2 linked regions of the Kluyveromyces lactis genome follow. The protein of the gene in region 2 purifies or fractionates together with the protein of the main gene of each other region. This does not show direct contact. Links are inferred from orthologs where the notes say so. Each region holds a gene or a part of one and is shown on either strand. Other genes may lie near its edges. The genes, in order: SIS1 and ILV2.

The links.
Region 1: the proteins of ILV2 (region 2) and SIS1 purify together in Saccharomyces cerevisiae (affinity purification with mass spectrometry; 3 studies listed by BioGRID, with this or other methods). This does not show direct contact. The link is inferred for Kluyveromyces lactis from reciprocal best matches to the Saccharomyces cerevisiae genes ILV2 and SIS1.

What each region holds. Positions count from the first base shown.
Region 1 is NC_006040.1:411,079-414,129, reverse strand, and holds SIS1 (type II HSP40 co-chaperone SIS1), read left to right. Parts: upstream 1-1,450; coding exon 1,451-2,515; downstream 2,516-3,051. Other genes in the region: TOR complex subunit LST8, read right to left, coding at 1-768. UniProt on the Saccharomyces cerevisiae protein: Required for nuclear migration during mitosis. It is required for the normal initiation of translation. Might mediate the dissociation of a specific protein complex of the translation machinery. Essential for viability.
Region 2 is NC_006038.1:1,099,939-1,104,037, forward strand, and holds ILV2 (acetolactate synthase catalytic subunit), read right to left. Parts: upstream 2,627-4,099; coding exon 551-2,626; downstream 1-550. Other genes in the region: KLLA0_B12606g (uncharacterized protein), read right to left, coding at 2,762-3,229; PMU1 (putative phosphomutase), read right to left, coding at 3,450-4,099. UniProt on the Saccharomyces cerevisiae protein: Catalytic subunit of mitochondrial acetolactate synthase, which catalyzes the first of a series of common steps in the biosynthesis of the branched-chain amino acids.

The sequences.
Region 1 (3,051 bases), on a different chromosome or scaffold from region 2:
ACAATCCCACACCCATCTCTGATGACCATCTAAAGTGGTTTCAAGTTCAAAATTATCCTCTATATTCCATACTCTAGCTGTATGGTCTGCTGAACATGTTGCTAAATGTTTTACATCCGCCGATAGTAGGACCCTGGTAATATATTTAGTATGCGATTTGAATTTAGTTACGGGCTCCAAAGTGGAAGCATCCGTGTGATGAGGCATCTTCCATACATAACAGTTCCCTTTGTTATTTCCTGCAACAAGCATCGATCCGTCGCTTGCAACGGACAACGACTGTAATGGCGTGTTATCTTCTGGTGTCAGCTGGTTTGTGCACTGGTTTTCACCAAGATCCCAAATCCTGATATTCCCATCCTGATCGCAGGAAATCAATTCCCCTTGGTTCGGATGTATCGCTACTTCATTGACAGGTGCATTATGCTTGTAATTCCTTTGCACAGATGGGGACCGTACATCCCAAACCTTAATAGTCCCATCTTCACTAGACGATACCATCCATCGATTTTCCTGTTGAAATGCAATCGACGTTACGTTCCCTTTATGGCCTTCGAAAGAGGACACCGGATTTGGATTATTCGACCGTATATCATAAAGACGGACGTGTAAATGACCAGCAGCAGCCAAATATTTCTTATCGGACGTAATCTCTAATCGATTCACTTGGGAATCTGCATGTTGAATGGTTCGTGAACAGACTCCAGTCAAAGCTTCCCAGAACCTAATTGTGTGGTCGTATCCAGCACTCGCTAGAATAACAGACATGGCAATATTGAAGTTAGTCTGACCGTACACAATAAGAAACCTCTACCTTGTTCACAGGGGAGAAAAAGCCTTGAAAACTCCTCAGATTCCTTAAGACTTTCTTTCATCTAGTATATTGCATATTCTTTATCACATTAAACCATAATTTGTCAATATTCATGATTGAGATATAAACAACAGCAATTGAAACAAAAGTGGAGGCATAGAGATAGCCACAAGATTGTGTAGTGGCTAATGTCATTGAATGACACCTGATTTGCGGCTTTGTGATGACAGATTTGTATTGGTGGGAAACTTCTATATCACGTGATTGTCACATGAATCTCGCGTGCTTAAAGCATTCATGTTTTTTTACTTCTAGAAGGTTCCAGGGTATACTCTGAAAGAACATGATCGGTTGCAACAGAACTGAACCTGAATATATAGGAATGAAATGTTATATAAAGGTTTTCAAAGAACAGGATGTTTTTCGTTCAAAGATTATTGGTCGTTGGTATTCGATCGACATGTTTAGAGAAGAGTTTTATTGCATCTTTTGTCCCATTGGTATCTCGAAACAGTGTAAACATTAACTGATTCTTTTAGTTTACTCTAATTCTTCTAGTTTAGATAGAGCTAATTTGAACTATCATTCGACATATATACAAAAGGACAATTACCAAATTTGAAACGTCGTAGGAGTATGGTTAAGGACACTAAATTATATGATTTGCTAGGAATTTCGCCTAGTGCAGGTGAAGCCGAGATTAAAAAAGGGTACAGAAAGGCTGCCTTGAAGTATCATCCAGATAAGCCTACAGGTGACACTGAGAAGTTTAAAGAAATCTCTGAGGCTTTTGAGATTCTTTCAGATGCTCAGAAGAGGGAAGTTTACGATACTTATGGTCTAGAGGCTGCTCGTGGTAATGCTCCTCAATTTGGAGGAGCGGGAGGGCCTGGTGGGCCTGGTGGGCCTGGAGGATTTTCTTCTGGTGGGTTTGCCGGGGGACATGCGTTCTCACAAGATGACGCTTTCAACATCTTTTCACAGTTCTTTGGTGGAGGAGGTGCTGCCGGAGGTGCTTCTCCATTTGGATTCTCTGCTAGCGGCGGGTCTGGTGATGATTTCGGGTTTGGAGGCAGTAGTTTCCATTCCTCTTCGGGCGGCATGCCAGGCGGTATGCCAGGTGGAATGCCAGGTGGAATGCCAGGTGGATTCAGTAGACAACAGGCTAGACCTGAAGAAGAAGTTGTTCAGGTCAATCTACCTGTGTCCTTAGAAGATTTATTCAGCGGTAAGAAGAAATCATTCAAGATCACAAGAAAAGGCGCCGGTGGTGTGTCCGAAAAGAACCAAATTGACATCCAATTGAAACCAGGTTGGAAAGCAGGTACCAAGATTACTTTCAAAGGTGAAGGTGACTATAATCCAAGAACTGGTGGTAGACAAACATTACAATTCGTTCTACAGGAAAAACCACACGAATTTTTCACCAGACAAGACAATGATTTGATTTACACTTTACCACTTTCTTTCAAAGAATCTCTTCTAGGTTTCTCCAAGCAAGTACAAACCATCGACGGTAAAACAATTCCAATCACAAGAACGCAGCCAATTCAACCTACTCAAACCTCAACATATCCCGGACAAGGTATGACACTGTCAAAGAATCCTTCCCAAAGAGGTGATTTGATTATTAAGTTCAAGATCGATTATCCAACCTCTTTAACACCTCAACAAAGACAAGCCATTATGGATAACTTCTGAATGAAAGATGAAGAATGTCTTTATAACGAAAATAAATCATAAAAGTATGACATGACGATTGCAAATTTAGACTTCTGACGGTGATCATGTTTACAATTCAACGTCTGCCAGAAATATTATCTTCCCACCATTATGGTTCTATGTCATATGTTTTCATTTCTTTAAATGTTTACTCCCATTAATTATTTCCAATTCAAATGTTCCATTCACATTCACTTCAGCAGAAGCAATCTTATCGTATGGCTACATTGTCTGTCGATTAATGCGTTAACTTTCTGACCACACTGTACACTATTTTCAAAAAAATATCCTTCGGTAAATGAAGCACGCAACATAAGTTGAGGACGCAATATAATATGCGAGAGAATACAAGGAGAATTATTCAATGATTGTTAATACTGGTAAAGTAAGAAACGGGACGTTTCATTGTGACACCTCGACTTCTGTTCACAATGTAACCATTTGCATAGATTTTAACCTTCATTTACCTTTTTATTGAGCAAATGACATCATGCAAATAAAAGACATACCAATCT
Region 2 (4,099 bases):
ATCAACTTTTCCATTTTTTAAAGCTTTCCCAGTTGGACAATATGGGAAACAGGCCCCTATATTACACAGTAAAAGGGGAAGAAGAAACAGGCTAACGAGGCAATTGTGCCGCATATGAGCCTTGTTCGGCCGAATTTGATGTGTGAATAATCAGTAGTTGATCAATAGTGTACAGCAATTAGATAAAATAAAATATACAAGATACAGGAATAGTATATATTCATACATACATATTTGCATGTATATATATATGACAGGATCGGAAGCAGATTATTGGAAGGAGAAAATTGTCTCATAGTGGTAGGATTAAAACCTGGTTCAAGCTGCAACACACAAATACATGATATAGTGGGTCATATCTTGTTTATATTTTTTTTCAATAGAGAAGGTTTGGTGGAGAATTGTCTTTTAAATAATAATGTGAGTGTTTCAATGTTTCCAATGAATATGCTTGATTTGGACGGAAGAATAGTTTGAACAGAGTAGCACTCTTGTTCTAAAGATCTCCGCCAAATTTTTTTTGGTGATTTGTTAGGTTTTCGTTATCATTTCAATATTTACCACTAGTACGTTTGTGACGTAGTTCGTTTTGTTCCTTTTCTACTTCTGGATCAAAGTTGATGAATTCGTGTAGACCCTTACCGGTTGGGACCATTGGCAAGACAGGAACCTTCTTTTCGATTTGCACTTCCAATAAGATTGGGCCCTCGTAGTCAACGAATTCTTTCAAGATGGCGTCAGTGTCCTCTTGTTTCGAGAGTCTGAGAGCCTTCAGACCCATAGCTTCGGCCAATTTAACGAAATCTGGATTCAGTTGATGGGTATGCGAGTAACGGTGTTCGTAGAAGAGAGATTGCCATTGGGTAACCATACCTTGTTCCTCGTTATTTAGCAACAAGACCTTGACTGGTGTACGAGCTTGAACAGCGGAGGACAATTCCATCAGAGTCATGTTGAAAGAGGCATCACCGTCGATATCGATGACGATAGCGTCAGGTCTGGCGACTTGAGCACCGATAGCAGCTGGTAGACCGTAACCCATGGTACCAAGACCACCGGAAGTGATGAAAGATCTTGGACTTTTCCAAGTCCAGTGTTGAGCAGCCCACATTTGATGTTGACCGACACCAGTGGTGACGATGGCTGGTCTACCGGATTTCAAGACCAAATCGGACAACTTGGAGATAACGGTTTGAGGTTTAATCTTAGAACCTGGAGTCTCCTTTTGGTACGCGTATGGGTATTCTTGTTTCCATTTAGCCACTTGAGCGGACCATTCTGGTCTTTCAGGAACAGATTCGACCAATGGCAACAATTTTTCCAAGTTACGAGTCACATCACCTTCGACAGCGACCTCGGCTTCGACAACCTTGTTGATATTCTTTGGGGAGATTTCGAAATGAACGATACCACCACGTTTCTCTAGAGCAGCCTTTCTAGCCTCTGGAGCAAATTTGGAAATATTCAGAGTGACACGATCGTCAAATCTGGCACCCAATGCAATGATCAAATCGGCGTTTTGGATGGCCAAGTTGGCTGCAGCATTACCGTGCATACCGACCATATCCAAAGATTTATGATCTTCTTGGTTGAACGCACCAAGACCTTGTAGAGTCGTGGTGACTGGGATCTGAGCTCTGTCACTTAGTTGCTTCAAGTATTGAGGACCCATTTCGCTGCCTAGAATACCAGCACCCACGTATAGCAAAGGCTTCTTAGCCCTGTTGATCAAGTCAGCAGCCCTGCTAATGTTTTCCAAAGTGAACTCATCGACGACTCTTTGAGTCAACTGATTTAGAGTATCAGATGGTAGAATAGACTTCATTGGAATTGGGTTTCTTAGCACCGCCGCCGTCACGTCCTTTGGTAAATCCACCAAAACGGGGCCCGGTCTACCGGAAGTTGCGATTTCAAACGCTTCGTTGATTCTACGAGGCAGTTCCTCAATGGTTTTCACCATCACGTTCCATTTGGTACAAGATCTAGAGATACCAACCACATCTGCTTCTTGGAAAGCATCTGTTCCGATAGCTGACGTGGCCACTTGACCTGTAAACACCACCAACGGCACACCGTCTGCCAATGCATCTGCCATAGGAGTCACCACATTAGTCGCACCTGGACCTGAAGTCACCAAAACAACACCTGGTTTCCCTGAGGCTCTTGCGTATCCCTCTGCCATGTGACCTGCACCTTGTTCATGTTTTGGTAGAACAAAAGTGAATTTATCTGAGTTGTAGATTGCGTCGTACACGGGCAAAATCGCACCACCAGGGTATCCAAAAACGGTGTCGACGTTGTGACGTTGCATCATCTCGTGGAAGATCTCACCACCGGTCATTCCAATGAACGAATCATCCATCTGGTTTTGAATGTTGACACCAGTATTCTTGTCTGCGATTCTCGATCTCTTCGACAATGGGATCTGGTTTCTTCTGGCACCGCCAGAAGAACCACCAGCTATATCAGCGTTAAAGCTAGGAGCAGGCTGTGGCCTGCTACTAGCCTCACCGGCAGCAGCAGAAGCAGCGTTACTTGCACTTGCACTTGCACTTCCTAATTTCAAGCATGTCTTACCAAAAGCACGTCTGGCCAAAGCCCGCGTTACAAACCTCTGACTGAGCATCTTTTGATTTGGGGATATGAAACTTGATATCTTAAGTGGAATAGAACAACAGCAAGGTCTAAACTATAGTAGAATCTCCAATCAATAAGAGGTACCGTTGCTTATATATGTTCATATATATATATATATATATATTCACTTTGTATAAGTGGTAATGGGAAGAAATCGGTGCAGGCGATGAGCTGGAAAGTTTGAAAATTTTCCAAAAGCACTGAGAGAACGAAAAGAAAAAGAAGGTTGAGTCATCCAAGAAGCAATAGAGAAGAGGTAAGAAGTAAGAGGAGCGAAGAGAAGAGAAGAAAAGAGGGTTAGAATGAGGCAGCGGTGCAGATGGTGAAGTGGGTGGTATTGTTTTCTGGTAATTGTGACTGATATTGGTCGATGACAGGATGTAGTGTTGAAAAGTGTATGGTATTTTGTGTATAGTATGTTTGTATTATAGGCATATAGATCGAATTTTTCACGGTGAAAAAACGGGCCGGTCGAGGCGGTGAGAGTTGAGTGAGTGCTGGAGGAAAGGAAGTGGAATAGAGTTGTGAGTGGTGCTGGGAGAGGCAAGGGACCGGTAAGAGGACCGGATGCCAGGGCCCTCGGCCCTGGCATTCAATTCGACTGAGGTGGGAAGGGGGGGGGGGGGGGGGATTGGTCACGTGACATGAAGGGACAAAAAGCCCATTTGTATGTGTTACCCGGCTTGGTCGGGTAACACACTTCCCCGCACGAAAACTCTTTTTCTTTTTGTGGTCACGTGGTGTTAACTGTATATGCCACATGTACATACATCTACATATGTATATATACAGATGTGCCAACCTATGTCCACTCAGACCTTGGCTTCTGTCTCGGCTGGCTTGCACAACACAAACACCACACCACCGGTTTGCAATTGCAAAATCTCTGGATGTTTCAATACTCTTAACGCAGACTGGATCACTCCTGAGTGACACGTCAAGGAAATGTACCTTTCCTCACCACTCAACAATTCTTGCAAAGCACCACCGATTCTATAGTCTATCTCCTCAACCGTCTCCCGATGGGTCTCGCTCCACATGGTATCCTCATTTGCCATCCCTGGCTCGTAAACCCAGTGGACCTTGGTGTTACCAAGCAATGTCTCTTCCCCGTATTGTTCCACCACATGGTCATGTGGTAACCTCTTGTCACAGTAATGTCTACCAAGTGTCTCTCGACACTGTTCCTTGACGTAGACAGACACTTCGGTGCTACTACTGACAAGTTCACTGGTGAAGACCTGGCCCCACGATTCCATATACGTCTCGAGACACCGTCTCAAGGGAGAACTGTAAAACTTCTCTGGAAACCCGATCTTCTCAACCATAGGTAGCAACAACTCTTTACCTGTACTTCTAACTTGCTGTTTCCCCAGCTCGGTCAACTGAGCGTCCACGAGCGTAACCTCATGGACCCCCGGTTGTAATGCCCAATACCTCTCCCATTCCTGTGTACCGTATT